Diceros bicornis minor: one gene and its partners. The protein of the gene in region 3 interacts with the protein of the main gene of each other region in a biochemical or structural test. Links are inferred from orthologs where the notes say so. Each region holds a gene or a part of one and is shown on either strand. Other genes may lie near its edges. The genes, in order: MAS1, MAP4, SNTA1 and MCM7.

Region 1 (6,458 bases), on a different chromosome or scaffold from region 3:
TGGACCCACCTGCATCAGAATCCCCTGGGCTAGGAAAATTCAGATTCCAGGGCTTTCTGAAACAGTGGGGCCCTGGAATTTGCCTTTTTAATAAGCGACCCCAGGTAATTTTTAGGCACTAAACTTGAATAAGCATAGCCTGTAAAAGAAGTCTGACGTTTAAGGAAGTATGGTAACCAGGTTTTCATGCTGAATTCAGTCCAGCCATTCATTTCTTTACAAAGTCCTTTCTCTGCCCAAGGTCCACCAGAATCCTCAAACCCCACCTGAACATCCTGTGCCCTCCTGCCTCCATGCCTCTATCCATCTGTTCTCTTTTCTTAAAATGCCTTTCTTCCCCTCCTCAGCTAACAAACTCCTACTGACCCTTCAATGCCCAGCCCTGTAAAGCCTTCCTTGAAACCCTGAGTCATTGCTTCCTGCTCTGTGCTTGCCCGGCTCACGGTTAAGGTCTCCTTTATTCCATTTCCCATATTGAATTAGATTTAGTTCTTTCTCCCTGTGCAGAGAACTGTGTCTTATCTATTTCCTTATCCATAACACTTAGGACAGTGGCTGAAACATGTTTGTTTGAAAATGGAGAGAAGGTGATATATCTGCAGAAAGTGAATTTGGTTACTTTGGTTTGACTCTAAAAGGAAAATACAATTTGATCTTAGGCGTCAAAACACCTTTCCTACCTGATTTTTGTGCGGAGTGCATGAGAGCTCTGTTGCACGTAATGAGAGGCGGAAACCTGAAGGAGGTTGTGGTTCAAGGGTGTGAGCAGAGTCAGAAAGATGTTCTTGTCAATTTTCTTAAAAATTCTGATTAGGTCCTGATTTTATTTCTAGTCTTTGGATTAGGTTTGTTATTAAAAGACGAAGACATTTGACTTCCTTGTATAAGGCATTTTGGTTTTCTGATGGCTCTAAACCTGAGCCATCCAGTGTGCTAGCTGCTACCCACAAAAGACTATTGAGCATGTGAGATGTGGCTGGTCTGAAGGAGATGAGCTCTAAGAGTAAAAGGCACCTTGGATTTTGAAGACTTGATGTGAAAAAAAATAACGTAAAATATATCATTTTTTATATTAATTACATGTTGCGGTGATATTTTGAACACATTGCGTTAAATAAAATGTTATTAAAACTCATTTCACCTATTTCTTTTTACTTTTTTATGTGTGGCTACTAGTAAAACTTAAATTACACCTGTGGCTCGTGTTATATTTCTATTGGATAGTGCTGGTCTAGACCCCGTTTACTCTCTATCTTTTTGTACTCCGGATTATTCTTTTTTCTTCTTCTTTCCCTAAAACACCACCACTACCAGCAGCAGCAGCAGCAGCAACAAAACGCCCAGCTCTGAGGCGCATGCCATCCAACTATGTCACCTACCACCCTCCTCTCTGTGACTATCTGCAGATCCCTCAGTCGCTTTCTCAAATCCCTGGAAGATTTTAGCCCTTGGCTCACAGTCACTATTTTCTAAGTCTATTCCTATCTCCAACACTACGTCCCAGTGATTTCAATGTCCATATAGATATTTCAGTGTCCATATAGGTACTCTTCCAGAGCCCTGGCCTCCAGGTCCTGGTCTCCCCTCACATGACCTTGTCCTCCACTGTCCCTCAGCCATTCATCCCCATGGCCATGCTCTACACTTGTCAATACAAATAACCCCAACACCACACGGCCATAATCTCAGTTCCAAGCATCGCATTCTCCAACCCCGCCCCCCACCACCACCATTTTCCAGTTTCTGCCTTTAGTTCCGGCACCTCAGCGGTTCTCGGACACCACTGAGATCTGCAATAGATGGCTCCTATCTCCTGCTCATTGTCCGTCACCTCCCCGAGACCTCACTTTTCTCCTAACTCTGTTGAATTCCATAGTATGTCGTCATAACCACTCCCTTCCATGGGCTTCAATTCCTTTGCCCCCCACTGTCCATTGCACAAGCCTGATAATAGCCAACCCTGGTTAAATCCAACCGTCTTCTTTCTCCGGGTTTGCACCCGGGCAGCTGAACCAGAGCTGGAGAAAAGCCCATGTCATGCTGAATTGTCTCTTTAAATTCATGAGCACCAGCCTGGGCAGGCTCTAAGGTTTGCCTGGCCATCCTGCTCTTTGTGTATTTCCCTAGTCCTTTCCCTCCTTCACTTGATTATTTCACACTTTCCCTCTCTCCTTAAACCCTCAACCTCTCCTTATTCTTAGCTGATGACCTTGCTCCTTACTTTGCTGAAAAAAGAGATACTGTACGTTCGGAAGAGAACTTCTTCTAACATCTAACACTCCCCTGTCACTCTACCCACCTGGCTGCATCTTTAACCAGATCCTCTGTCTTCCCTCTGTTCCCATGAATAAATTATGCTCCTACCTAAGGCCAGCAACTCCTCGGAGCTCTAGATCCCTACCCTCAGGTATCATCCATTGTTTCCTTTCTACCGGATAATTCTCATCAGTTTATCAACTCTCCCTCAACCCCACAGCCCTCTCCAGTTACTGCTCCATTTCTGCTTGAATTTACATTCAAGTTCCATGAGAAGGTTGTCTATACTCACTGTCTCCACTTACTCTCGTCCCATCCTCTCTGGAATCCACCTTGATTAATCAGGCTTTCATTTTCTCTACTCCACCAGAACTTCTCTCATCAAGGTCAACAATGACTCTCCTCTAATGGTCAATTTCCAGTTCTCACGTGACTGGAACTTGCTGTGATGTTAGCACAGTCGATCACACTCCCTTCTCCTTCAAACACTTTCTTTGCTTCCCAGATACCACTCTCTTAGTTGTCTCAGATCCTTGTTTCTCTTGTTTCTTTCTAACCTCTAAACTTTGAAATGTCCCAAGGCTCAGTCCTTGGACCCCTTCTCCTTTTTGATTACTCACATTTCATGGGTAATCTCATTTAGCCTCATGATTTTAAATTCCACCTGTTTGTATACAACACTCACATTTATATCCCCAGCCTACATCTGCCCCCCAACTCCTGACGCCCTACTAGACACCTCCATTTGGCTGTCACATAGGCTTCTTTAACTCCATATGCCCCTCCTAACCGGCTCCACCTGTGCCTTGTCCATTCAGAAAATGGCTAAAAACGTGTTCTCTCTTTCTACGATAACACATATCTTATCCATCAGCAAATCAAATTGTATCCAGAGTCTACCCACGTCTTACTGCCACCACCACACTCTGGTCCGTGACATGGTTCATGCTCTACTTTTCTCAGTGGCACTTATTATGATCTGACATCTATTTATTTGTTGTTGTTGTTATGTTATTTGGTTATTGACTGCCCCCCCCCAATGGCATATAAACTCTAAGAGGTTGGTGCTTTGTGTGTTTCTTTCATTGCTGTATCCCAGTGCTTAGAACAGTGCCTGGCATGGAGTTGGCACTGAATAAATATTTGATGGGTGATTTGGCGGAACATGGCTGTCTTACCTACAAACTTACAACAAACGCTGGTCTCTACAGCAGATCTTTGGTCGGCCATGCTGTGGTATTGTGAATTGCGGTTCTTGTGTTGGGCCCAGAGGGTATTGGGGCCTATATCTTCTGTGTAATTATGAAATGAAAGGAGACTCTGCCCCAGTGAAAACAATTTCCAGTATCTCGTCAGAACAGCTGAGGGAAGTGTTAGTGGGGAGACGGGGGTTCAGGACAGCGGAGGCAGGGACCTCTCCAGGCTCCTGGATCACACCACCGGGGAGGTAACTATCCTTTCACCAGTCCGCCTGCTAGCCCAGGTTTCAGGCACAGCTGTACTGAGTGAAAACCCTGGCCAATGCCAGGGTTCTGCTGACTCAATCCTGGAAACGTCTCATATCATCAGAGACATTCAAGCTCCACAAAATATCACATCTATGTACTGTTCTGCTTCAGGTGAGCTTGTGAGGAAAAGGCAGATATCTACCAATAGAAATATTGTTTTGGTCAGCTTCCTAAACGTTCATTATTTTTTGCACATGTAGGGGCCCTGTTCTGCAAGGACAAAGTTCAAAAAGCAAAGAACAATATTTTAACACCGAAAAAAAAAGTCTAAAGAAAAAAACAGCCAAGGCCAGTGGTGAAAGTGGCTTACGTCTGTTTGTTACATAACAGGAAGAGGGTGTGGGCTGTGCGTGTATTTATTTTGCAGTTTGTAACGTGTGAGGGAAAGTTTCTGAGAATCTTTGCTTTGCGGTCTCAAACGTTTAGCGTTTTTATTGATTTCAGGTTAATGCTTTGTTTAATGTCTGTCAATAGTGTTTTCCTGCCTAGTCTGGCCTATGGTATGTGGATGTGTAAATACCTCTTGTTAAGGCCCGCCATCTGTTGCAGAGTCTTGGTTTACACTGCACACCTAGTCTGAGTACGTGCCCAGCTTTGTCACAGGTATTGAGACTACATAAAATAAAGGCCTTCTAATTGTTCATACTTTCAAAAATATTGGTACACTATTGTACATAATTTTGCTAGCTATTCCCTCTCCTTTACTCATGGCTTATGGCACTTTATGCATTGAAAAACAACAACAACAAGATTGCCCAAACATGTATTCTGTCATGGCATTTTAACGCGATTAACCTTGTCCTTCAGGCCAGGAGATGGAGGCACAGGAGATGAAATGATTTTCAAAATGCCATTCTGAAATCTTGGGCCAGACCAGAAATGCACACCAGGAACTCAGACTCTCTGGCTTTGCCAGACCCCTTGTGGCACTGAAACACAAGCAAATAATAATACAGAAATAAGGGCAATTGGGAGATCAAAAAGTCATTAAATCAATTCTCTTTTCTGGTGAAATGTCTAATTTGATCATCATTAAAAAGAGAATTGTACGGTCTATTAAACTTTTTTTTTGTACAGCATGAAGGTTATGATCCATAGCGGAAATTCTCCCTTTTCCTCCACTTCATCAATTTTCATGGTTTTTTTTTTTTTAAACTTATTTACAGAAAATTACCCAAAGAGCCCCAGCCTGAGGCCTCCTCATGGATGAGTCAAATGCGACATCATTTGTTGAGGAGTCCACAAACGCCTCAACCAGCAGGAACACCTCCGTCGGAGACCCGCATCGGGAGATTCCCATCGTGCACTGGGTAATTATGAGCATCTCCCCACTGGGCTTTGTTGAAAACGGAATTCTCCTCTGGTTCCTCTGCTTCCGGATGAGAAGAAATCCCTTCACAGTCTACATCACCCACTTGTCTATTGCGGACATCTCTCTACTCTTCTGTATTTTTATCCTGTCTGTTGACTATGCTTTAGACTATGAGCTCTCTTCTGGCTATTACTACACAATTGTCACATTATCGGTGACATTTCTGTTTGGCTACAACACGGGCCTCTATCTGCTGACGGCCATTAGTGTGGAGAGGTGCCTGTCCGTCCTGTACCCCATCTGGTACCGATGTCATCGCCCCAAGCACCAGTCGGCATTCGTCTGCGCCCTCCTGTGGGCACTTTCTTGCTTAGTGACCACCATGGAATATGTCATGTGCATTGACAGTGAAGGTGAGAGTCACTCTCGAAGCGACTGCAGGGCGGTGATCATCTTCATAGCCGTTCTGAGCTTCCTGGTCTTCACTCCACTCATGGTGGTTTCCAGCACCATCCTGGTAGTCAAGATCCGAAAGAACACGTGGACAGCCCATTCCTCAAAGCTGTTCATGGTCATCATGGTCACCATCATCATCTTCCTCATTTTCGCCATGCCCATGAGACTCCTTTACCTGCTGTACTATGAGTATTGGTCAACATTCAAGAATTTGCACCACATTTCTCTTCTCTTCTCCACGATCAATAGCAGTGCCAACCCTTTTATTTACTTCTTTGTGGGCAGCAGTAAGAAGAAGCGATTCAAAGAGTCCTTAAAAGTGGTTCTGACCAGGGCTTTCAAAGATGAAATGCAACCCAGGCGCCAAGATGACAATGGTAATGCCGCCACAATTGAGACTGTCGTCTGAGGATGGTGGAGTGACATAGTGGACAAAAATGGTGGGACACAGATAATTTGTAGTTTGTGTTTGGAACACAACTTAAGTATCTCCTCAACATGATACAGAGGGACACCCCATCCTATATGCATGAGACACTAATTAATGATGAGGTTGTACTACTGTATTGTATCTTTTGGAAATGCCTGAATACGTGTTGGACCTCTACCATTTCTGTACCTATCAAAAACATTCTTTCTGTTCCTCCTCAGCTCTTCTGGCAGCATTTTCCCATGAACTATAAAAATTCCTCTGGCAGGAAGGTTTATAACTGTGTACAAGAAAAGGTAACAAAAGTATTTATTGGAACTAGAGGAGGCAGAGCAATGTAGCGGGAGGAACATGGACCTGGGAGTCAGGCGGACTCTGTCATTTGCTGCCTGTGCAACTTCAGGCAAGTGGTTTAACCTCTTGGAGCCTCATTTCCTCACTTATAAAATGGTGACAGTAATAGTCCATACCTCCCGGGCTTGTAGTGAGGATGAAA
Region 2 (7,506 bases), on a different chromosome or scaffold from region 3:
GCATGGATGTTTGCTCAGGGCTAATCTTCCTCACAAAAAAGAAGAAGAAGAAGAAGAAAAGCGATGCCAAAAATTTGAAATGTCAACAGCAAAAGTTTAGAGCCAAAGGATGGATCACCAAATTCAGAAACAAGATGAGGAAAAAGAACAAGACACTGAGATCAAGAAGAACCATCTCTCTGACTAAAGCTAAGCCACCTATCTTGATGTAGGTGAGGGGTTCAAACCACACAAGCCCCTTCACAAGATGGAACACTCACTCCCACCCCCGCCCTATAACCACAAAAAAAACCACAAGCCGGTATCCTTCCCTGCTCTCAAGCCATTTTGAACAAGCCTGAGAAACCTCTCCTACTCTCCCCTGAAAGCCATGTTATGTAATTAATAAAAGTTTTCATAACCTCAAAAAAATTAAAAAAATAAAACTAAGCCACCTAAACATAAGAAAATCCAGGTGATTCCTTCACTTTCAGCAAACAATGGAAAATGACTTTTTTTTTTTCCTGAGGAAGATTCGTCCTGAGCTAACATCTGTTGTCAATCTTCTTCCTCTTTTTTTTTGGTTGAAGAAGATTCGCCCTGAGCTAACGTCTGTGCCAATCTTCTTCTATTTTGTATGTGGGTTGCCACCACAGCGGGGCCGCTGACAAGTGGTCTCTGCCAGGGAAGCAAACCCGGGCTGCCGAAGTGGAGCACACTGAAGTTAACCACTAGGCCACAGGGCCGGCCCCGGAAAATGACTTTTTATATGTAATGTAAACTTATTTGTAGATTTGGGGATTTTAACACAGGTAAATATATGCTGGGATGACAAATATATGAAGAGATGACTTAAAAAAACAACTGAGACAGAATGGGAAAATGTTTAAGAATCTCCTCAGCACTGTCAAACATTAGTATGTGTGTTTGTAAAATAGGGAAAGAAGGGAGACTCACCAGGCTTCTGTAACTTGATTAAAACATCCCCTAAGAACATCCAGTGCCCTTAGTTCCAATTCTTTAATCAACTGCATTCTTATTACTGATATGGCTGCCCAGAAACAAAGGAGGAGTCCCTGCCAGTGGATAATTAATTCCTATTGTGTACATGGCACTTAATACTTTCGATGTAAATAAACTGGTATTTGGTCTATCAGTCTCTGGTGAGTTTACTTCGCATGAATAAATTCTCAAGCACTTGAATCACACTTGTGTGAACCAAAAATTTTGAGTTTCTGAACTACTGTGTGGGTGTCAGAGAGACCTTGGTGTGGATGCCACTTAACTGCGTGACCTCTTATTCCTGTCAGTCTTAATTTCCTCATTCGTAAATAAATACCTACAACTAGTGCCTAGAAGATGGCAAGTACTCAGAAAGTGATAGCTTTATTATTTTTAAGCAAAATTCGAAAGCAACAGTATAACTGAGGTAAAAACATTTCATCTGAAAAGAAGTACTAAGGACAATCAAACCACATCAATATAAAAGAGACCCCCTGAAGAGAGCCGTCCCATTCTACAAAGCTGAGAAAAGTTAAAAAGCTGCAAGTAAAGTATCCCCTGCACTGTACAGATGGATGGAGTCTCTTGCTTAGCAACTCTAATGTTGTCTACCAAACACCCAGCCTGTAATGGTTAGAGCATGACAACTGTTCACTCTAAATCCATGTGCTCAGCTTGGATTCAGGACTGATTTATAAAAATAGCTGCTGCTGCTCTTTGAATCCCTTTGAGCTGATGACTGGGCAGTGTTACCCTATAGGCCTAGAGCAGCTGTATTCCCTCACCACACCCATTTCTCTGCCTACCCAGCCTAGCTGACGGCACCCCCCTCGCATCTCTGCAGCATACGATTCTCCCTCTTCCTGGGCTGAGTGAGCAAATTACAAGCACAAATATCCCCTGATGCAATGCCACAACCATCCCTGGGAAAGAGCAGAGGCAGTTGCCAAAAGCGCAGCAGCAGGGAAATGGGAGGGAGGCAAACACAGAGCAAGAACACTGCAACGCTAAGCAGCCCGGGAACGGGAATGGAGAGGCCCTGGGGAGCAATACTGTAACTGGACCAGAGGAGAGAAAGGAGAAAAGGGGCTTTCCAGGAGAAAGCTGGATAACACTAACCTCCCCGAGAAGTACCTTTCACTCTGGGTCTGGATCCTAAAACACAAACCTAAGCGTAATCACTGCCACCTTCCAAAAGCAGCAAATGAATTTAATTTACACGTTCCTGGATGGAAGCAAAACCCCCAACATTCCCCCAAGAGGCAATTTCACTAAAGAGCTCACGCAACACAACAGTGAAGAACCTGGTCCATGTACTAAACCACAATCTCTGTTCTCAGTAAGGTTTCCAACTGCCCCTCCTGGTTCCTCTCCCTATCGTCCTATCCCCACCCATACTGAAACCCCTTCGCACTCTCGCAGCCAGACACATGTTTAGTCCCCAAACAGCGCCACGGCCGACGCACGCACAGAGCCCGGGCTGGGGCGCGGTTCTCCAGCCACTCCCACAACCCAAGGGGGCACCCTCTCTAAGGCTCGCCTCAGCCCCACCTCAACTGACCCCCCAAAAGCCTCATGGAACGGCCTCTGAGTTCTCCTACTTCTCCGAGCCCCACCCAGGGCCCCAGACTGCAGCCGACCCTCGCTCCCCGGGCTCAGCCCGATCCCGAGCCCAACGCATGGCACTCGCCACCACGCTCGACCCCCAGAGCCAGACGTCTCGGCCTGCCCCGCCCCGCAGGCCCCCCGATCGCGCCTGGAAGACTCGCAAGACCACGCCCGCAGGCCCCCCGCCCGGCCAACCCCGCGTCCCGCAGGCCGACAGCCACCGCCCTTCCCCGCCTCAGGCGGCCCCTGTGGGGTCCCGAGCGGGCGCGAGGCGAGGCTCGGGCAGCCCCGGGATAGAAGTGAGGCCGCCCCTCCAACTGGGCCCCGCCCGCGGCTGCACCTACCCGCCGCCGCCGCCGCGCCGGAGCCGGAGCCGGAGGGAGCCGGGAGAGGGCCGGGAGGAGCCGGGAGGAGCCGGGAGAAGTCGGGAGGGGCCGGGAGCCAGCCAAGCAAGCCCGAGGGGCGGGGCGCAGGGAGGTGGCCGCTTCCTCGTCGCCCTCTTGAGGGCCGGCGCGAGGGAGGGGCGCCGCCGCCGCCTATCCCGCGGGCGCCGCTGCTCCTGCCAATAAGCGCGGCGAGGGGGCGGGCGGAGGGCTGCAGCGGACCAATGGGCGCTGGCCCCACCGCCTCGACCTCGCGGTGATAGAGGCGCGAGCGGAGGGCCGTTGGGGGCGAAGTACGCATGGGGGTTCCGGAATCTCGCCTCCCGCTGGCGTTAGCCGAAGCGGCTGGCGGGCAGACTGACCGCCCCGCTGCTGTGTGATGGTCGTCCCTTCTTTTTAGAACTTGGGTGCTTGGAGTAGGGAGGATGCGGTCGTCCGGGCACACGCGGCCGGGGTCGGGTTTCCCCCCCCGCGGGCCTGTAGGCTCTGTGATGTAACCTGGGCAGGGCGCGGGGCGGGACTAGGGCGCGGGCCAGCTGGTCGCTGGAACGTACCGTGGGGGCACGAGGCCGCGGCCGGGGGTCTCTCCAGGGGTGCGTGGCCACCAGCCGCAAGTGGCGTGGCTGGTCCAAGTTGAGATGTGCTGTCAGTGTGGAATACACACCGGATTTCCGAGACTTAATACAAAAAAATATATAAAATAGCTCATTCGTAATTTTTATATTGATTACAAGTTGGATAATTGATTACAGTTTTGGATATATTTGGTTAGATAAAATATATTTGAAATAATTTCATGTTTCTGTTTACTTTTTAAAATGTGTCCAGGGCCGGCCCCGTGGCTTAGCGGTTAAGTGCGTGCGCTCGGATGCTGGCGGCTGGGGTTCTGATCCAGGGTGCGCACCGAGGCACTGCTTCTCTGGCCATGCTGAGGCCGCGTCCCACATATAGCAACTAGAAGAATGTGCAACTATGACATACAACTATCTACTGGGGCTTTGGGGGGAAAATAAATAAATAAAATTAAAAAAATAATAATAATGTGTCCAGTAGAAAACTTAAAATTACTATTTGGTTCACATATTTCTGCCGGATAGCGCTGGTTCAAAACTATAAGTGATAACACGTATTTATTGCTTACTATGATCCAGGCATTCTTATAAGTATGTGACACCTAATAACTCGTTTAATCATCACAACAATCCTATATGGTTGGTATTAATGTTCTCATTCTGATTTTACAAATGAGGAAACAAATGAGAAGTTTAGTAACTTACCTAATGTTGGCAAGCCAGTTAACTGGCAGAGTGGGGCCTTAACTCAGGCAGCCAGGCATTTGGGGCGTACACTCAAACCTCTAGAGCAGACTGGTACACTCAAATCACTAGAGCAGACTGGTTACCAGAAGAACGGTGGACTTGGTTGAAAGCCGGGGTTTGAAGTCCAGCTCTGCTACTTTCTAGTTATGTAACCTTAGGGAAGTTAACCTTCAGTTGCCTTATTTATAAAAATGAGATAATACATGTCCCATTTGCAACAACATGGATGGACCTGGAGGGTATTATGTTAAGTGAAATAAGCCAGAAAGAGAAAGACAAACTCTGCATGATTTCACTCATATGTGGAATATAAACCAACACACAGTCAGAGAGAACTGTATTGTGGTTACCAGGGGCAAAGGGGATCGGGAGTGTGCACAAGGAGTGAAGGGAGACATGTATATGGTGACTGACAAAAATGTACAACCAAAATTTCACAACGTTATAAACTATTAAGACATCAATTAAAAAAAAAAAAAAGAGGGGCCGGCCCCCGTGGCTTAGCAGTTAAGTGCATGCTCCGCTACTGGCAGCCTAGGTTCGGGTCCCCGGAGCGCACGGACCGCACTGCTTGTCCGGCCATGCTGAGGCGGCGTCCCACATAAGGAACTAGAAAGATGTGCAACTATGACATACAGCTATCTACTGGGGCTTTGGGGAGGCAAAAAAAAAAAGGGGGGGGAAAGAGGAGGATTGGCAATAGATGTTAGCTCAGGGCCGGTCTTCCTCAGCAAAAAGAGGAGGATTGGCATGGATGTTAGCTCAGGGCTGATCTTCCTCACCAAAAAAAAGATAATACACCATCAGCTTCTCTCGTGGTCACTATTAGAATGACCTAGAGGTAGCATACTGAGGTAGTTAAACTTGGACTCTGGACCCAGACTCCCTGTGCAAATCTGAGCACTGCTACTTAGAAGTTATGTGAACTTGTGGAAGATATTTAATCTCTCTATTCCTCTGTTTCCTCAACTGTAAAATGTAAAATAATGGTACCTACCTCATTTAGGGTTGTTATGTGGATCAGATGTGTTAATATATGTAAAGTGCTTAGATTGGTGCCTAGCACTTCGCAAGCACTTATCAAGTTTACTATTTTTTTTTTTTAAGATTTTATTTATTTATTTTTCCCCCCAAAGCCCCAGTAGATAGTTGTGTGTCATAGCTGCACATCCTTCTAGTTGCTGTATGTGGAATGCGGCCTCAGCATGGCCGGAGAAGCAGCGCGTCGGTGTGAGCCCGGGATCCGAACCCGGGTCGCCAGCAGTGGAGCGCGCTCACTTAACCACTAAGCCACGGGGCCGGCCCCAAGTTTACTATTAATATCATAATGACTATAAAGGAGTGTTAAGAGTCTAGACAAATATGAAAGGATTAAGAGTAAAAGAATAAGTGGCAAAGGCATAGAACTGTGAATTGGAGCCTGGGAAGGACTTTAGGCCAAACGCAGAGAACTGAAATTACTAATCTAGGTCACACACCAGTTAATAAGCCAGGTGTCTTCAGCCCAAACCCAAAGCTTTCCTCCTCTCATACTTACCCAGATTCCAAAGGAGGGGAACTACCATTGCAAGCCTGAATTCATTCATCCAACAGACATTGATTGAGTACCTGCACATCAGGAAGGTCCACACAGTGATGGGCACTTGTACAAAGATGAATAAAATAGGTTTCCTGTCCTGGTGCAATTGGCATTACTTCACACCAAAACCCACAGATTTTGTCTAAGCATGAACTTACTGTTGTAGGAAAACACATACAGGCTTAAAAAGTTACTTTGATTCTTCTTCCTGCTGCCTGGAGTATCCAACCCCAAGGCCTGTCCCAGGCTTCATGAATAGAATTGTCTTTGAATTCCTTAGAAGTCAATGGCTGGGAAGATTCAAAAGTGTTGGAATCCTTCATTCCTCCTTTAAGGTAATAGAGTCACCATATTATGTGTATCCCAAGCTAGACACCCAGGAGTCATTCTCAATTATTCCCTTCCTTCTCGCCGCTCAGGCCTACCAGATGCTCCTTCTGCCTCAGAAACATCATCAACACTGATGCTATTCTGGTTCAGTCCCTTTTCTCTTTCCACAACTACTCCAAGCCCTCCCTCTGCCCCTGCTTCAATCCAAGCTTCACAATCTTCTGCACCACCCCCTCCAGTTCATACACACCTTCCTGCACCCCTTATATGCCCTTCTATTACAGCACTCACCACATATGTGGTAATTATTTGTGTAAACGAGGATCTGCCCTAATAGATTGTTTCTCAAAGTAGAGGTTCATTCTCTTCCCCCGCCTCCAATTGGAAAGAATCTTCTTTCCAGTTCCAGGGTGCCCAGGATGAAAAACATAGATCCCTAGCCTCTCAGAGTTGGACAGGATCTTATCAAACATGCAGTCCCATGTCTAAGGATATATTCTTGAGGTTCTACAAGTTCATAAGAAGACATTTTAGGGTTATCCACTATATTTATTATCCATGAAAAGCATGCTTTATATTTATTCATCCCAATTTTGATCAAAATGTTGCCCAGGACACAAACATGGGCAGAGCCCAACAACTTACCAAAGAGTCATCCCTCCAGTTTTAACCTAAACTACTTCAGTGGCTTTCTATTGCATTAAAATCCGGAAATTAGCTTTCTTTCAAGACCCTGTGCGATGATGCTCTCTCTCTGTCTCGCCTCATCATCTGCCTTATTTCTCACTATGCCCAGCATAGTCTGCCTTCTTTGTTTCCTGAGCTTTCCTCTCTCAGGACCTTCCTCAGGCTATTACGTCTGCCTATCCTAATTTGTAGGTACTATAATTTTCTGTATAGAAAATTTGAGAAGATCTACAAATTACTAGAATTAATAGGAGAATTCAGCAAAGTTACTGGATACAAAGTTAACATACATAAAGGAATAGCTTTCTTATATAGCAGTAATCATCAATTACAAAATGTAATAGAAAAAAAAAACTCCTTCACTACAGTGAAACAATAAAATCCATATGGTACCTAGAAATAAACCTAACAATAGTGTTGTAAGTCTTCTTCAGAAAAACGTTATAAAACTTTACAACTTTTAGAAGACAATATAGGGAGATATCTTGATGCTCTCAAGGTAGGAATCTCTAGCTGAAATTTCTTGGTAACAACGCTTTTCAGAAAAATACACAATTTAAATACCAATTTTTATCATAATTTACAATGTTTATATTAGAATTCCATGGAGAGAGGAAAA
Region 3 (7,268 bases):
GCCGCCAGCGGCGGAGCGCCCGCACTTAACCGCTAAGCCACCGGGCCGGCCCCTTCCTTCCATTTCTTATTGAGTCACATATATGTCAGATGCTGGGTTCTTTTTTTCCACTTGTGTCTCCCCTGTTTTGACACTTATCACTCTAAATTAAAGCTATTTGATAGATGCCTGTTTTCCAGGATAATTACAATTCGTGTTTTATTTTTTTTGTGAGGAATTAGCCCTGAGCTAACATCTGTTGCCAATCCTCCTCTTTTTGCTGAGGAAGATTGGCCCTGGGCTAACATCCGTGCCCATCTTCCTCTACTTTACATGGGATGCCGCCATATTTATGTGGGACGCCCCACAACTCATATTTTTTCGAATGCTTTCTATGTACAATAATTATGCTAAGCAGTTTACCAGCATTATTTTATTCATTCCAATATCCAATCTCTGGGATAGTGATTTTAATACCCCATTTTATAGGCTATGAAATTGAAGCTTAAGGGTTAAATAAGTCACCCAGGATCACAAAGATAGAAAGAGGCACAGCGAGGGGCTGGCCTGGTGGTATAGTGGTTAAGTTCGCATGCTCTGCTTCAGCGGCCCGGGGTTTGCAGGTTTGGATCCCAGGTGTGGACCCACACACCGCTTATCAAGCCATGCTGTGGCAGGCGTCCCACATATAAAGTCGAGGAAGATGGGCATGGATGTTAGCCCAGGGCCAATCTTCCTCACAGGGGGAAAAAAAAAAAAAGAGGCACAGTGAGAATTTGAACACAGAAAATCAGAATCCAAAGCTCATGCTCTTGACCACCATGGGATCCTGCCTCCCAGGGGATGGTATGTTCAGTGAGCCTATCGTTTACAGCTGAATCTCTGCACCTAGTACTGTGTCTGGCACATAGTGGATGTTCAATAAATATTGTTGAATGAATGAATGGATTGTAAACGCATCCCTTGCTGCTATGTGGCCTGCAGAAAGGTGGAGTAGGAGGGATATGGGCTTGGAAGCCAGACAGACCCAAATTAGAATGGAGGTCTGTTCTTTTTTTTTTTTGTGAGGAAGATCAGCCCTGAGCTAACATCCATGCTAATCCTCCTCTTTTTTTGCTGAGGAAGACTGGCTCTGAGCTAACATCTATTGCCAATCCTCCTCCTTTTTTTTCCCCCAAAGCCCCAGTAGATAGTTGTATGTCATAGTTGCACATCCTTCTAGTTGCTGTATGTGGGACGCGGCCTCAGCATGGCCAGAGAAGCGGTGCCTCGGTGCGCACCCGGGATCCGAACCCGGGCCGCCAGTAGCGGAGCGCGCGCACTTAACCACTAAGCCACGGGGCTGGCCCCTAGAGGTCTGTTCTTACTAGTGGTGTGCCTCAATTTTCTCATCTATAAAAAGGGGATAATATGCAGGCTGTGCAGGATTTATGTGAAGTTTAAATGACAATGTACAAAATCAGCCAGCTCATGTGCCAATGTATAACAAACTGAATAAATGGCATCTATATATTTTATGTACTTGTGCGTATAATACATACATGTATTATGTACATGGCCTCAGCGGATTTTGGTGGTATAGAGCCATTCCCCTGTGGTTGGACACTTGGGTTCATCTCTGGTTATTTGCAAACATAAGTTTGCTGTGGACAATTTGTATACGTACCTGTTTTCTTGTGTTTTTTTTTCTTGATGGTATCTTGTTTTTTTTATTAAGGTAACATTTGTTTATAACATATTAATTTCAGGTGTACATCATTATATTTCAACTTCTGTATAGACTATATCATGTTCTCCACCAAAAGTCTAGTTGCCATCTGTCACTGTACACATGTGCCCCTTTACCCCTTTTGCCCTCTCCTTACCCCCTTCCCCTCTGGTGACTGACAATCTGTTCTTGTATCTATGTGTTTATCTTCCACATATGAGTGAAATCATACAGTATTTGTCCTTCTCCATCTGACTTATTTCACTTAGCATAATACCTTCAAGGTCCATCCATGTTGTCATGAATGGCAAGATTTCATCTTTTTGTGTGTGTGTGTGTGAGGAAGGTTAGCCCTGAACTAACATCCATGCCAATCCTCCTCTTTTTGCTGAGGAAGACCAGCCCTGAGCTAACATCTATTGCCAATCCTCCTCCTTTTTTTTTTTTTCCCTTTTTCTCCCCAAAGCCCCAGTAGATAGTTGCATGTCATAGTTGCACGTCCTTCTACTTGCTGTATGTGGGATGCTGCCTCAGCATGGCTGGACAAGCAGTGCGTTGGTGCGCGCCCGGGATCTGAACTTGGGCGGCCAGCAGCAGAGTGCGCGCACTTAACCCCTAAGCCACGGGGCCGGCCCCAGATTTCATCTTTTTTTAAAGCTGAGTAGTATTTCATTGTATATATATACCACATCTTCTTTATCCATTCATCCATGGATGGACACTTAGGTTGTTTCCAAGTCTTGGCTATTGTGAATAATGCTGCAATGAACATAGGGGTGCATATATCTTTTTGAATTAGTATTTTCCTCTTCTTTGGATAAATACGCAGAAGTGGCATTGCTAGACCCTATGGTAGTTTTATTTTTAATTTTTTGAGGAATTTCCCTACTGTTTTCCATAGTGGCTGCAGCAATTTACATTCCCACCAACAATGTACGAGGGTTCCCTTTTCTCCACATCCTCTCCAACGCTTGTTATTTCTTGTCTTTTTAATAATAGCCATTCTGACGGGTGTGAGGTGATATCTCATTGTGGTTTTGACTTGCATTTCCCAAATTAGTGATGTTGAACACCTTTTCATGTGCCTGTTGGCCATCTTGATGGTATCTTATGTGGAGGCTTCTACCTGAAGGTGCAGGGAGTCTACACATTGATGTGGCCCTAACAATTTTTGCCCAACACATCCCAGGTAGGAGTGGGGGGATGGAGACAAGGGGCAGATATGAGGGCGGGTTGAGGTGTGCAGTGTGCTGGGATTTTTCTGATAACAATTACGCCTCACTTCTGTACTTTGCAGCTGTCTAGCAGAGTGGGTCAGTGCCCAGGCACTGGTGTCAAACAGGCCTGGGTTTGAATCCCTGCTCTGCTCCACTCACAAATGTGTGACCACGCAATTAGACCTTCTCAATCCAAGTTCTCCCTTCTGTATAATGGGGGTATTCTTAACTGTAGCTACTGCATGAGTCTACTGTAAAGATGAGATAACACATCAAAAATGCTCAGATATGGGCCAATAGTAAGCATTCAGTAAATGAAAGTGATTATACTGATTGCCTAGGAATTTACAGTTGACAATGTGTTTTCACATTGATTTAACCCTGACACAAGCCCTGTGAGGTAGGGATTATTATGACCCCCATTTCACAGATGACGAAATTGAGGCTTAGACAAGTGAAGTGATGGGACCACCGTCGACATGAAGCTAACAGTGTCTGAGCAGGGACCCTAAACCAGGTCTCCAGACTCCTGGACCCAGAAACCCAACTTCCAGCCCTCTTCCCTCACACCAGGAGTTCTGGATTCTTCTCAGGCCAGGTCTCTCAATGTGGGACTTCAGGCTTTTCTGTATTCGGCTGTGAACAAAACAGGGGGTTAATCTCCTAAACTCTCTTTAAAGTGGGGACGTTGTCCACCCCTTCTCCAAGCCCTGAGCCAGCAGCACGCTCATCCCTGCGGGCGGGGCATGTCAGCTTTAGAAGCCACGCCCCACACTAAGCCAAGCCTACAGACCAAAGCTCCAGCCCCACAGTGGGAAACCAGCTCCTTCCAAAGCTCTTCATTAGCAACCCTTCCGGCTAAGTCCCTCGCAGACCGGGGTCCACCTCTTAAACTCAAGCCCTGTCCCTGGAGTCCAGCGCTCCTCCATATGTAGCCTCGCTCCGACGCCCAAAGCCTCGCACTCGGATCCACGTCTCTTTTTCTTTGGTTCCCACGTCCGTGAGCTGCGGTCCCAGCACTCGACGGCCAGGCCCAGCGCGGAGTCTCCTCCACAGGATCCTAGGGCTCCGCCCCCGGCACGAAGCCCCGCCCCCTGCATGGCCGGGCTCAGCTCCAGCACCTCACCTGCTCGTCTCCTTGCTTCGTGGCCCCGCCCCGGCGCCTTACGACCCCACCCCCCAAGCAGTCTCACAGGGCATCCTTCGGCTCCTGGGCCCCGCCCCAGCCTCCCGCCAGCTTGCTTGCGGCCACGCCCTCGCGGTTAGCCACACCCCCAGACAGCCCCGCCCCTCGAGGCTCCACCCCCAGCGGCCGGGGGTAGGGTGGCGGCTGGCCCAGCCGGGCCGCCGCTGCCCTCTGCCCTGGGCGCTCGGTCGGAGCGGGCCGGGCAGGAGGCTTGGGGGCTCGGAGGCGAAGATGGCGTCAGGCAGGCGCGCCCCGCGCACCGGGCTGCTGGAACTGCGCGCCGGGGCGGGCTCGGGGGCCGGCGGCGAGCGGTGGCAGCGGGTGCTGCTCAGTCTGGCGGAGGACGCGCTGACCGTGAGCCCCGCCGTCGGCGAGCCCGGCCCGGAGCCCGGCGCCCCGCGGGAATCGGAGCCCGCGCAGCTCAACGGCGCCGCCGAGCCGAGTGCGGCGCCCCCGCAGCCGCCCGAGGCGCTGCTGCTCCAGCGGCGCCGCGTGACGGTGCGCAAGGCCGACGCCGGCGGGCTGGGCATCAGCATCAAAGGTGGGCGCGGGGGCACCGAGGGCGAGGGGCCGTGGTGTCTCTGGGGCCGCCGAGGGCGCAGGGGCCGCGGGGGCTGGCAGCGTGCCGAGGACATGGAGTTGGAGGACTTCTGTCTGGGGCAAGGGGTCTGAGCGGACAGAGGGAACCGAGAGCGTGGGGAGCACCAAGGTCGGAGGGGGTTTGGGGAGTCAGAGGTCTCAGTCGGAAGGCACAGGTGTGGAAGGGATTGGGGGCGCACCAAGGACACGTGGTTGGGGAGTTTTGTGTGGAGGCGTAGAGATCTCAGAGGGGTTGCCTCTCAGGGGTTGCGTGGGCATCAAGGACAAGAGGGGCCCCGGGAGAGCAAAGGATGCAGAAAGAGAATTGAGGCCTGGGTCGCTGCTAGGGCAGGGAGGGGAAGTCCCTGAGGCGTAACCGAGGTAGCGGGGCGCGGGGGTGAGGCCTGAAGTCGGGAGCACAGCGGGGCAGGGGATGGGGCAGGGAATCAGAGACGTAGGTGGAAGCACCGGCTGGGCTCACAGACAGGGTCCAGAAGGCTGTGTACCTAGGCGGAGAGTCCTAACAACTGGGTTTCAGTTTCCTGACCTGACCATCTCTACCTTGCACGGGATTGAGAGGCGTGGACATAGAGCCCTCCTCCTCTCTGAGAACTGCCAGCCCCCAATACTGACAGCTTTCCTTAGGGTGCAACCAGATTTGTTTGAGTCGGGGATCAGCTATGTGAACTTGGACAAGTCACCTCCCATCTCTAAACCTCAGTTTCTTCAACTATATAATGAGGATAATGAGAGAGTTGTGATGTTTCTGTGAAAACAGGGATCTAAAGTACTCACCCTGCTGCACATAGTAGGTGCCTGGTTAATTATTGCTGTTAGATGAGAGAAAAAATGGAGGTCAGGAGAGACTCCCAAAGCAACTAACCATAGCGCTTGAAATCCCTGCACACCACCAGCTGTTGGTTTCACCGTTCCTACCCATCTGCTTCTCAGGGTCTCAGCTCCCAGCAGGGTACTACCTGCCTTGGGAAAGGGTGTTAGCCCTTGTGTCACCCTGGATATGCACTGTTCCCCCTCCCTGGTGCTGGCTCTTGTTCACTAGTGCCTCCAGACCCTTTGGCTTGGGTGAGGGGCTGGGGATGGTGGTGACTCGGCTACCACTGTGTGCTGACTGCTGTGCCCAGAACTCTAGGCTCACGATCCACTTCATCCTGGCAACAAGTGGTGGAAGGTAGGGAGCGTAATCCCCATTTTGCGCGTTAAGAAACTGAGACTCAGAGAAGTAAAATGATTTTAACCAGGATCATACAGTCACCGAGTGGCAGGGATTCGAACGTCAATTATCAGGACACTATAGAGTGCCCAGGGGAGTTGGTTCTGCCCTCTGGAACCCAACCAAAGCATCGAAAAGGGGAAAATAGGGAAGCCAGGGAGTGAGCACCAGTCTTGCCTCCAAACTCCCACATGCGATAGGGCAACAGATCAATCCAGAAATTGTACACTCAGTGTGTCAAAGCAAGAAGGAACTTAGAGTTCATATAGAGTTCCATTTTGCAGTTGGACAAACTGAGACTTGGAGATGAGCAGGGACTTTCCAAGGTCACATAAAGTTACTTCCCAGCTCCATATTTCCGGGTGTGTGTGTGTGTGTGTGTGTAAAGGTTCTTTTAGGAGGCATCAGGGCAAGTACCAGCTCCATTCAGTTCTTGGTGGTTGGAGACTGGGCTCCTGTTGCCATGGTGACCTCCCCTATAGGGTCTAGCTTAGCCCAAGGCAGCCAGGAATGATCATAGCTTGAAACCGAACTGAAGTCCCTAGCTTCAGGGGGATGAGGGCAGATATAAATAGAAGCCCCTTCCTTTCCTAGGCCTCCAGCTCTGTGCAGTGCAATGAACAAACCTTTGGGCCTGTGTGGGGGTCAGGAGAAGCGTTCCAGTCCACCTCTGCCACCAATTTGTTGTGTGATCTCGGAATAATGACCTCCCCTCTCTGGGCCACTAGTTCCTCATCTTTAGTATTCTGGGGATGGACCAGTAGTGTAATATCTGAGGGTTTGACTTGCAGTCTGCCATAGGGTTAAGAGTGTTGGTTCTGGAGCCTGGAGACCTAGGTTCAAATACTGGCTTTGCCACTAACTAGCTGGGTGACCTTGGGCAAGGGGCTTCTCTCCACACCTCAGTGTTTCTGATAGGAAACTGAGCGTGCCTGTGTGATTGGTTGTTGTGAAGATGCAATGAGACAGCATAGGAAGCATTTAACACACTGCTTGGCACTTGGTACATGGAACTAATGTGAACCGTTATTACTATTTCTTATTTTCAAAGGACATTCGAGAGTTTAGCGGTAAAGCAATTCAGTAAAATGTATTAGCTTTTTTTGCATCAGAGGTGCAATTCAGACAGGCTTTTGAAATCTCCAGACTTTGAGGCTTTGGTTTCCAGCCTGGATTCTGGATTGTAAAACTTTCTGATTGCTCAGGAGATCCTTTGGGGCCATAGGAATAGCTGAATTCTATCTTTTTTTTTAATAATTTTATTTATTTATTTATTTCCCCCCCCAAAGCCCCAGTAGATAGTTGTATATCATAGCTGCACATACTTCTAGTTGCTGTATGTGAGACACGGCCTCAGCATGGCCAGAG
Region 4 (6,913 bases), on a different chromosome or scaffold from region 3:
GTCTGAACACCAGCCTGAGGAAGCGAACCTGGAGGCCGGAGCATGTGTGCCGGGGAAGTTCAAAGGAGAGGCTTGCGGGGCCCAGCCCCAGAGGAGGGGCTGAGGTGGAGGGCCCTTGGCCAGGAGGGCCAGGGAGGCCTGGGACATCCATCTGTGAGGGGCAGAGGCAGGGGGAGGGGTGCTGAAAGCACAGAGAGAAAAAGCAAGGGAAGCCAAGTGGCCAGGAAGCTGCCCACGCTGGCGGGGACAATGCAGCGTCTGCGTGAGGAGGGATGGGTCAGGGGGCTGAAAATGGAGGTGGGAGGAGAGGGCCTGAGAGGATCAGCAGCTGATACCTGGAAAAGGCCTGAGAGCTGAGAGCCTCCTTGCACCCGAGGCAGGTCCCAGTGAAGGGCTCCCTCAGCCAGCTCTGCCTTCTGCTCTGGGCTGCTCAGCTCCTGAGATAGGCTGGAGTTTGGAGAGGAAAGGTGCTGTGCTCAGCCTCTGCCTTCATCAGGAGCAGGCCAGCCCCACCCCTAGCTCACTCCTCCCCAGTGCCATGCCATTGTCCAGGGAAGCTGGTAAAACCACCCGAGCCCCCACAGTGCACACGACTAACCTGACCACCCCTCGTGGCAGGGGAAGATGCAGCCTGACGTTAAGAGCCTGGCTGCAAAGAAAGGAACAGAGTCAGCCCCAGGAAGGTAGTGATTTGTCCCCACTCTTCATTAATGTCACAATTGGAGTTCCACACAAGTGCCACCCCATCCCCTTCCCAAACTCTAGAGCCTCTAACTAAACTGGATTCCGAGGCTGGTGGCTGTATCTGAAGGTGGGAAGCAACAGGTTACTGGGCCTGGTCTCCTACCCCACAGCTGAATTCAGCTTGGCCACCCCGACTTGTACCTCTTTGGGGGCAGGTCACATCGTAACTTCAGATAAACCTGGAGCCTGGGTGAGAGGGTACAATACCGTTACTCAGGCCATACCCTCCTGGCATCTCACCATCCCCTACCCAGGGCCCCCACGCGTGGCTGTGTCAGTGCCCCAAGAAGGAGAGAAGGGCTCCATTAGCCACAAGTGTTCATGGGGCTGAGTGCACTTCGGGGGAGGATGCCTTTTTCCAACTTGTACCATATTACCTCGACCACCACCACTCCACCATAAGTCTTGAGAACATATAGGTATCAGCTTGGATTCCAGAGAATTTCTGGAACAGGGGAAATGGTCTTACCTGCCTGAGCCTCGGTCCCACTGCACAGAGGGAAAGAGCCGGAAGGGGAGCGGGGAGGGGAGGTCATCTGAGAGTTGGTACCGCATCACAGTCAGCTGAGGCCAGAGAGGAATGGAGGTCAGTTTGGTCTCCTCACACTTGAACTGCCTCCCTTCCCCCCAGCAGATGGAATATCTTAGGCCACCCCGATCCTGACCTCGCCCTGAGGTGGCTGCAAGCGGAGGATTCGATGAGACTCAAACTCATCCAGATGCACCGAGCTGTGAAATGAGACCTCATCTACCCGAATTCCTGGCCCATAACCTGGAAAGAGAGAAAGAGCTCTCCTAAGCCATATCTGGGGAGAGAAAAGCAGGGAGGGGGGAGTCTGTCTCTAACTTCACTCCATGAAACTTTTGGCAGTGACCTATACACCTAGGAGAGAAAGACCCCTCTCTCCTCACCTCTCAGTTCTGACTTCCCCACACAAAATTCTTCTGTCAAGCCGATGCACATCTCTGTCAGAGGAAAGGACATCAGAAAAGGCCACCAAATGCTGCCATGCACACCACCAAGGAGCCTGTCCCAAACCCCAGCCTGGGGCCAGCCTGCAGACTTCTCACCGGAGCCGCTGGGAAGAAAGCTCTTGAGTCGGATCTCTCCCTGCACATCCACCTTCAGCAGCGAGCCCTGAGAGTGGCAGGGAGGTTAGTGCCCAGAGGTGACCTCCCTAACACAGTTTCCAAATACCATCTGTCCTCAGCTCCAGGGCTGGGGGCCTAAACTTACGTTAGATGCTATCAGTACGGACAATCTCTCCACCACATCCAAAAACACTTCATTCTTTTGGCTCTGAGGAAGAGAGGGGATTTGGGTGGTTGGAGGCTGAAGGGCCTGTGTTCTAAAGTGGACAGGCAGAAAGGACAGGATAGTGGAGGCCAGGGCCCTGGGGTGGGGACACGGGGGTAAGGGATTTATCCAGCTCTGGAGAGGTGAAAAGAGATGCCAGGATCTTAGACCTGGGGTCCCAGAAAAAAGCCAGAGGGTCTGAACCCATCAGTCCCTCCCTCACCTGGTCGGAGCGGCTGGACAGGACAGGGCGGCTGGCTGCGCTGCTGGGGGCCACTTTGCTCTGTTGGGTCTCGGCCCCAAACTGTAAAGCACCCAAAGCAATCAATCCTCAGGTTTGATACTCCCTGCCAACCCTCCTCCCTCCTTGTCCTCCTCTCTCCCTCAACTGACCAAGCCAACGCTGCTGAGGTCAAAGAGGCTGAAAGGCTTGCTGACCACGGCCTCTGTCTGGATGAAGTTCCTCAGCATCTCTGTGGATGTGGTCTGTACATAGCCATAATCCTATGGACGGGGGAAAGACAGTCTTTGAGTGGTCAGTGGAGGGAGGGGGTGAAAATGCGTGGACTTAGCCTCGCAACCACAGGATATATCTTCAGGGATCAGGGGACAGTGAGGGAAATCCTTGGAACTTACCAGCACTTCATCCAGGAGTTCATAGACAAGAGCCACGTTGCGGGAGATGGTCCCCTCACCCAGGGAGCCACAGTAATCGCCCAGGAGAGTGGCTAAGCTGAGGAGACAGGATGGAGTGTGCATATGCCCCTCCTCTCAGACCCCCACGCCCAGGTGCCCAGGCCTGCCCTCCTCACCGGGACAGCAGCTCTAGGAGGCTGAAGGGAGAAATGTTTTCTGAAGTCGTGGCCACCAAATAGAGGCCGCTGTGTCGGATGTGAATAAAATGACGGTCATCGTGGTGCTGAGGCAGAGGCGGGGTGGGGGGGGGGGAGCATTAGGAAAAGAGAGTTGTCCTGTTTAAGGGCCCATGAGCCTGGGGCTCCTTTCCTGATTCCCCTACTGACTACCAGTGTGACTTCAGGCGAGATATGAAACCTCCCTAGAGCCCACCTTCCTAATGTGTAAAGGGAGTTAATGATGGTACCTACCCCAGAACTGCTGAGGATCGAGACGTGTGAGCACCTGTGCCTGCTATATTGTTACCACTCAATAAACTTGCGTTAATATTATTTGGAAGAATGCACTCCCCCGGTGGAAGCTCTCAGGGAAACATCCTGGGAGGAGGCGCCCCCCGCCCAGGCCAGCCAGGCGCACCCCCCAGTACTCGCCCCCTCCCGCTCCACGAGTGGTTACCATGACAACCGGGGACTCGTCTCCGGGCAGTCCCGTCAGCTTCCGGTAGAAGAGCTCAGCCACATCCCGGCCGCCACTGTCCCCGCGAACTGACCGGGTGGAAGGACAGCTAAGGAGCGGGCGACACAGGCTTGCTCTGGGGCACTATTCCCACCCAGCCCCTCCCCCGCGCCCCCCGGGTCAAGGATACAGTCCTTGTAGATGAGCGGGTCCCCTTTGGAGGACAGAATGAAGAACTGGGAAATCATAGGCGTTCGGAAGAGTAGACAAGGAGACAGCGAAAGTTGGGCCTACCCCGCCCGGCGGCCGCGGAACAAAAGGACGCGCGTGCTGGCCCTTTAAGAGCGAGTCTCCTCCGACCGCGGGAAACCCGGCGCCCGCCCCGCCTCGCCTAGTCTTTCCCTCTCGCCACCCGCGCCGCTTCCCAGTCACTCAGTCCAGGCTCGCCCGGTGATTGGCCGAGGCGGGGGCCTGCGGCGAGTGGGGAGGGTGGAGGGCCTCCTCTCCGATTGGTCCGCACTCAGTGGCGCCGGTCACGTGAGGGGCGACGTTTCGCGCCAATTTCGGTTGGTCGGCTGCAGTCCGCCGCGCGGACGTTCTCTGTGATCCCGAGAGTGAGAACCTTGAGGTCGCCAACTGCTGCTGCACGGCCCTCGGCAGTAATGGCGCTTAAGGACTACGCGCTCGAGAAAGGTAAGGGTGTGCAAGCCTGGCAGCGGCGTCCGGCCAAGACCTGTTGGTGTGAGCTGGGGTCCTGGGGGGCCGGGGGCGGCGGGCGAGACCAGAGCCAGGGTCGGGAGGTAGTGGGTTGAGGCAGACGGTGCCTGGGAGGCGCGCAGGGTGCTGAGGGCGGAGAAGAGCTGTAACCGTGTCAGGGAAGGGAGGACGGATCGGGCTGGGGGTGCGGGCAGCCTGGCTGGGGCTCCAGAGGGGAGGGTCGCGCCCAGGAGAGACCAGGACATCAGGGGACCCTGCTTAAGGCTCAGGCACCCCCGGGCCCGTTTCCTCCGCGCCCTTAGGCACTCTGAGTGCCCGCGTCCTCCCGAGACGCGCCGAAGCCCCGGGGGTGGGCGGTCTCGGGCCGCTGCGCGCCGGGATTGGCCATTTTAGGCCAACCTCCAAGCGGAAGTGAAGGCGGGCGGAAGTTGCGCGACGAGGCTGGAGGGAGTGTCGTGTGTAAACAGTGTCCTTCCGCGCGGCGGCCTCGGAGAGAGCTACTGAGGGCGGGGGCGTGCCTGGAATTGGGGGGCTTAGCGGGAGGCCGAGAGGGGAGATAGTGGGGGAGTACGGAGTGTCCCTGGACGAGCTGGCCAATCGCCGGACGGGCTCCCACCGTGGGCGGAGGAATCCCGGGCTGTGAGGCGGCGGCATCGGGGCCCATGTGCTTCTTTGTTTACTAAGAGCGGAAGCAGTGGCGGGAGAGCGGGTGGAGGACGGGCCTAGTGGCCTCGATCCCAGAGAGAGCAGAGGTTTAGGGGACCGAAAGAAAAGGGGGAGTCATAGGCGTGGAAGAAAAGCTGAGAACCTTGATTGCTGAGTGTGTTGCTGGGTGTGAGAGGCCTTTGGGATAGGCTGCAAAGGTTTCTAACTAAGGTAGAGACTGGAATTCCCCTGGGGGCGGGTGTTGGGTAATACTCCTGCCAGGGGCCCCTGATTCTTCCCTGTTAAAAACAGACTTGTTAAAAAGGAGTTCTGCCCAGTTTGGGGAGAATTATTTAGGCTTATTTAAATGTTCATATAATTAATTAGTTTACAGATCTTGTTTTAAATGGGGTGGGTTTCTTAGATTTCTATCAGAGGGGTTTACGGTAAGGTTATCTGAAAGAAAGAAAGGTTGATCGTCGTGATTTTACGTTTACATTATAGAAAAAGTGAAGAAGTTCCTACAAGAATTTTACCAGGATGAGGAATTTGGCAAGAAGCAGTTCAAGTATGGGAACCAGTTGGTAAGTGTAAGACTAGGTAGAGGGAATGGGGTGGTTGCTTAAGGAGCTCTAAGAGGTGGCCTGGCTTATTTCAGCAGTTACATTTGTCGGTAAGGGACACAAATTTAGCACCATACCTGATACTGGTAAGTGAATAGAAAGCTACGTTCATGATAACTAAGGTGTTTTCAGGAGTTGGAAGGCTGTCTTTTGGGGGCTGAGAAGTGAGTTTTGCTATGTCTCACACCACTCTTGCTCTCCTGTGGAGACCTGGAACCTATGTGTTGAGCTCACAGTGATGGGGTCCTTGCCTGTGAACACTGGTGAGCACAGTCATCTTAGCTCTGTTGCTGTCTCTTCCCCACCGCAGGTTCGCCTGGCTCATCGGGAACAAGTGGCAATGTACATAGACTTAGATGATATAGCTGAGGATGACCCTGAGTTGGTGGACTCGATTTGTGAGAATGCCAAGCGCTATGCACGGCTCTTTGCTGATGCTGTACAGGAGCTGCTGCCTCAGTACAAGGAGAGGGAGGTGAGTGGTTGCAGAATAATGCAGGGCAAGGAACTTAGGTTTCTGTTAAAAAGTTTCTCAGATACTGATGGTTTCTGAGCTGGCAGAAAGAGGGGCAGTGATTTCTGCTTGGTGCCTTTTATGCTGTCTTTTTCCCGTTTTGCCACTCATTTTTCGTATCTTCCTCCCTCTTCCTTTAGGTAGTAAATAAAGATGTCCTGGACGTTTACATTGAGCATCGGCTGATGATGGAGCAGCGGAGCCGGGACCCTGGGGCACCGCGAAGCCCCCAGAACCAGTACCCTCCAGAACTCATGCGCAGATTGTAAGTGGTCTCAGTGGGGAAGGGTGTGAGAATTTATCCTTCAGGACCCTGCTGATGACTATCTTTTCCCTTAGTGAGCTCTACTTTCAAGGCCCAACCAGTAACAAGCCTCGTGTGATCCGGGAAGTACGAGCTGACTCTGTGGGGAAATTGGTAACTGTGCGTGGAATCGTCACTCGCGTTTCTGAAGTCAAACCCAGAATGGTGGTGGCCACTTACACTTGTGACCAGTGTGGGGCAGAGACCTACCAGCCGGTATGTATGGAGCAAGAAACAAGCACATGCTTAAATTTGTTCATTTTGAACAAGAAGTAATTTTGTCTGCTGGTGTTTGTCATTTTCTCTGTTGTAAAGTATGCCTGTATATTCACGTTTTATTCTTTTTCGGGTATGTGGTGGTCTTTTCTGTTCATTTTATTCTTGGTGCCTGTTGATATTGATGCAGAATAGTTCAAGATGTTCTTGACAATCCATGGTATCTGCCATGAAGAAGAAATATGATTTGAGTGACTGATTCTAAGGGCCTCGTTTCCTTCTGATTTCCTGTGTTACTTCCTTTCTTATATCTTAGATCCAGTCTCCCACTTTCATGCCTCTGATCATGTGCCCAAGCCAGGAGTGTCAGACCAACCGCTCAGGAGGGCGGCTGTATCTGCAGACACGTGGCTCCAAATTCATCAAATTCCAGGAAATGAAGATGCAAGAACATGTGAGTTTGGGGTATGTGGCGCAGGGTCCAGGGAAGGTGGAGCTTGGGAGGCTACTCGAATCCTGCAGTCACTCGTGGACTAGAAGAG

What was found.
Region 1: the proteins of SNTA1 (region 3) and MAS1 interact in a test that uses a peptide from one of them, tested with the Homo sapiens proteins (2 studies listed by BioGRID and IntAct). The link is inferred for Diceros bicornis minor from reciprocal best matches to the Homo sapiens genes SNTA1 and MAS1.
Region 2: the proteins of SNTA1 (region 3) and MAP4 interact in a test that uses a peptide from one of them, tested with the Homo sapiens proteins (2 studies listed by BioGRID and IntAct). The link is inferred for Diceros bicornis minor from reciprocal best matches to the Homo sapiens genes SNTA1 and MAP4.
Region 4: the proteins of SNTA1 (region 3) and MCM7 interact in a test that uses a peptide from one of them, tested with the Homo sapiens proteins (2 studies listed by BioGRID and IntAct). The link is inferred for Diceros bicornis minor from reciprocal best matches to the Homo sapiens genes SNTA1 and MCM7.

What each region holds. Positions count from the first base shown.
Region 1 is NC_080778.1:9,971,104-9,977,561, reverse strand, and holds MAS1 (proto-oncogene Mas), read left to right. Parts: upstream 1-4,966; coding exon 4,967-5,941; downstream 5,942-6,458. UniProt on the Homo sapiens protein: Receptor for angiotensin 1-7. Acts specifically as a functional antagonist of AGTR1 (angiotensin-2 type 1 receptor), although it up-regulates AGTR1 receptor levels.
Region 2 is NC_080741.1:49,353,781-49,361,286, forward strand, and holds the start of MAP4 (microtubule-associated protein 4), read right to left. Parts: upstream 3,018-7,506; 5' UTR 2,930-3,017; intron 1-2,929. UniProt on the Homo sapiens protein: Non-neuronal microtubule-associated protein. Promotes microtubule assembly.
Region 3 is NC_080758.1:26,311,047-26,318,314, forward strand, and holds the start of SNTA1 (alpha-1-syntrophin), read left to right. Parts: upstream 1-4,245; 5' UTR 4,246-4,321; coding exon 4,322-4,631; intron 4,632-7,268. UniProt on the Homo sapiens protein: Adapter protein that binds to and probably organizes the subcellular localization of a variety of membrane proteins. May link various receptors to the actin cytoskeleton and the extracellular matrix via the dystrophin glycoprotein complex.
Region 4 is NC_080765.1:5,669,560-5,676,472, forward strand, and holds the start of MCM7 (DNA replication licensing factor MCM7), read left to right. Parts: upstream 1-3,913; 5' UTR 3,914-4,014; coding exon 4,015-4,045; exon of another isoform or gene 4,046-4,328; intron 4,329-4,759; exon of another isoform or gene 4,760-4,945; intron 4,946-5,218; coding exon 5,219-5,298; intron 5,299-5,647; coding exon 5,648-5,812; intron 5,813-5,991; coding exon 5,992-6,116; intron 6,117-6,190; coding exon 6,191-6,371; intron 6,372-6,687; coding exon 6,688-6,825; intron 6,826-6,913. Other genes in the region: AP4M1 (AP-4 complex subunit mu-1), read right to left, coding at 1-181, 336-447, 599-649, 886-930, 1,214-1,308, 1,410-1,516, 1,657-1,710, 1,816-1,882 and 7 more. UniProt on the Homo sapiens protein: Acts as a component of the MCM2-7 complex (MCM complex) which is the replicative helicase essential for 'once per cell cycle' DNA replication initiation and elongation in eukaryotic cells.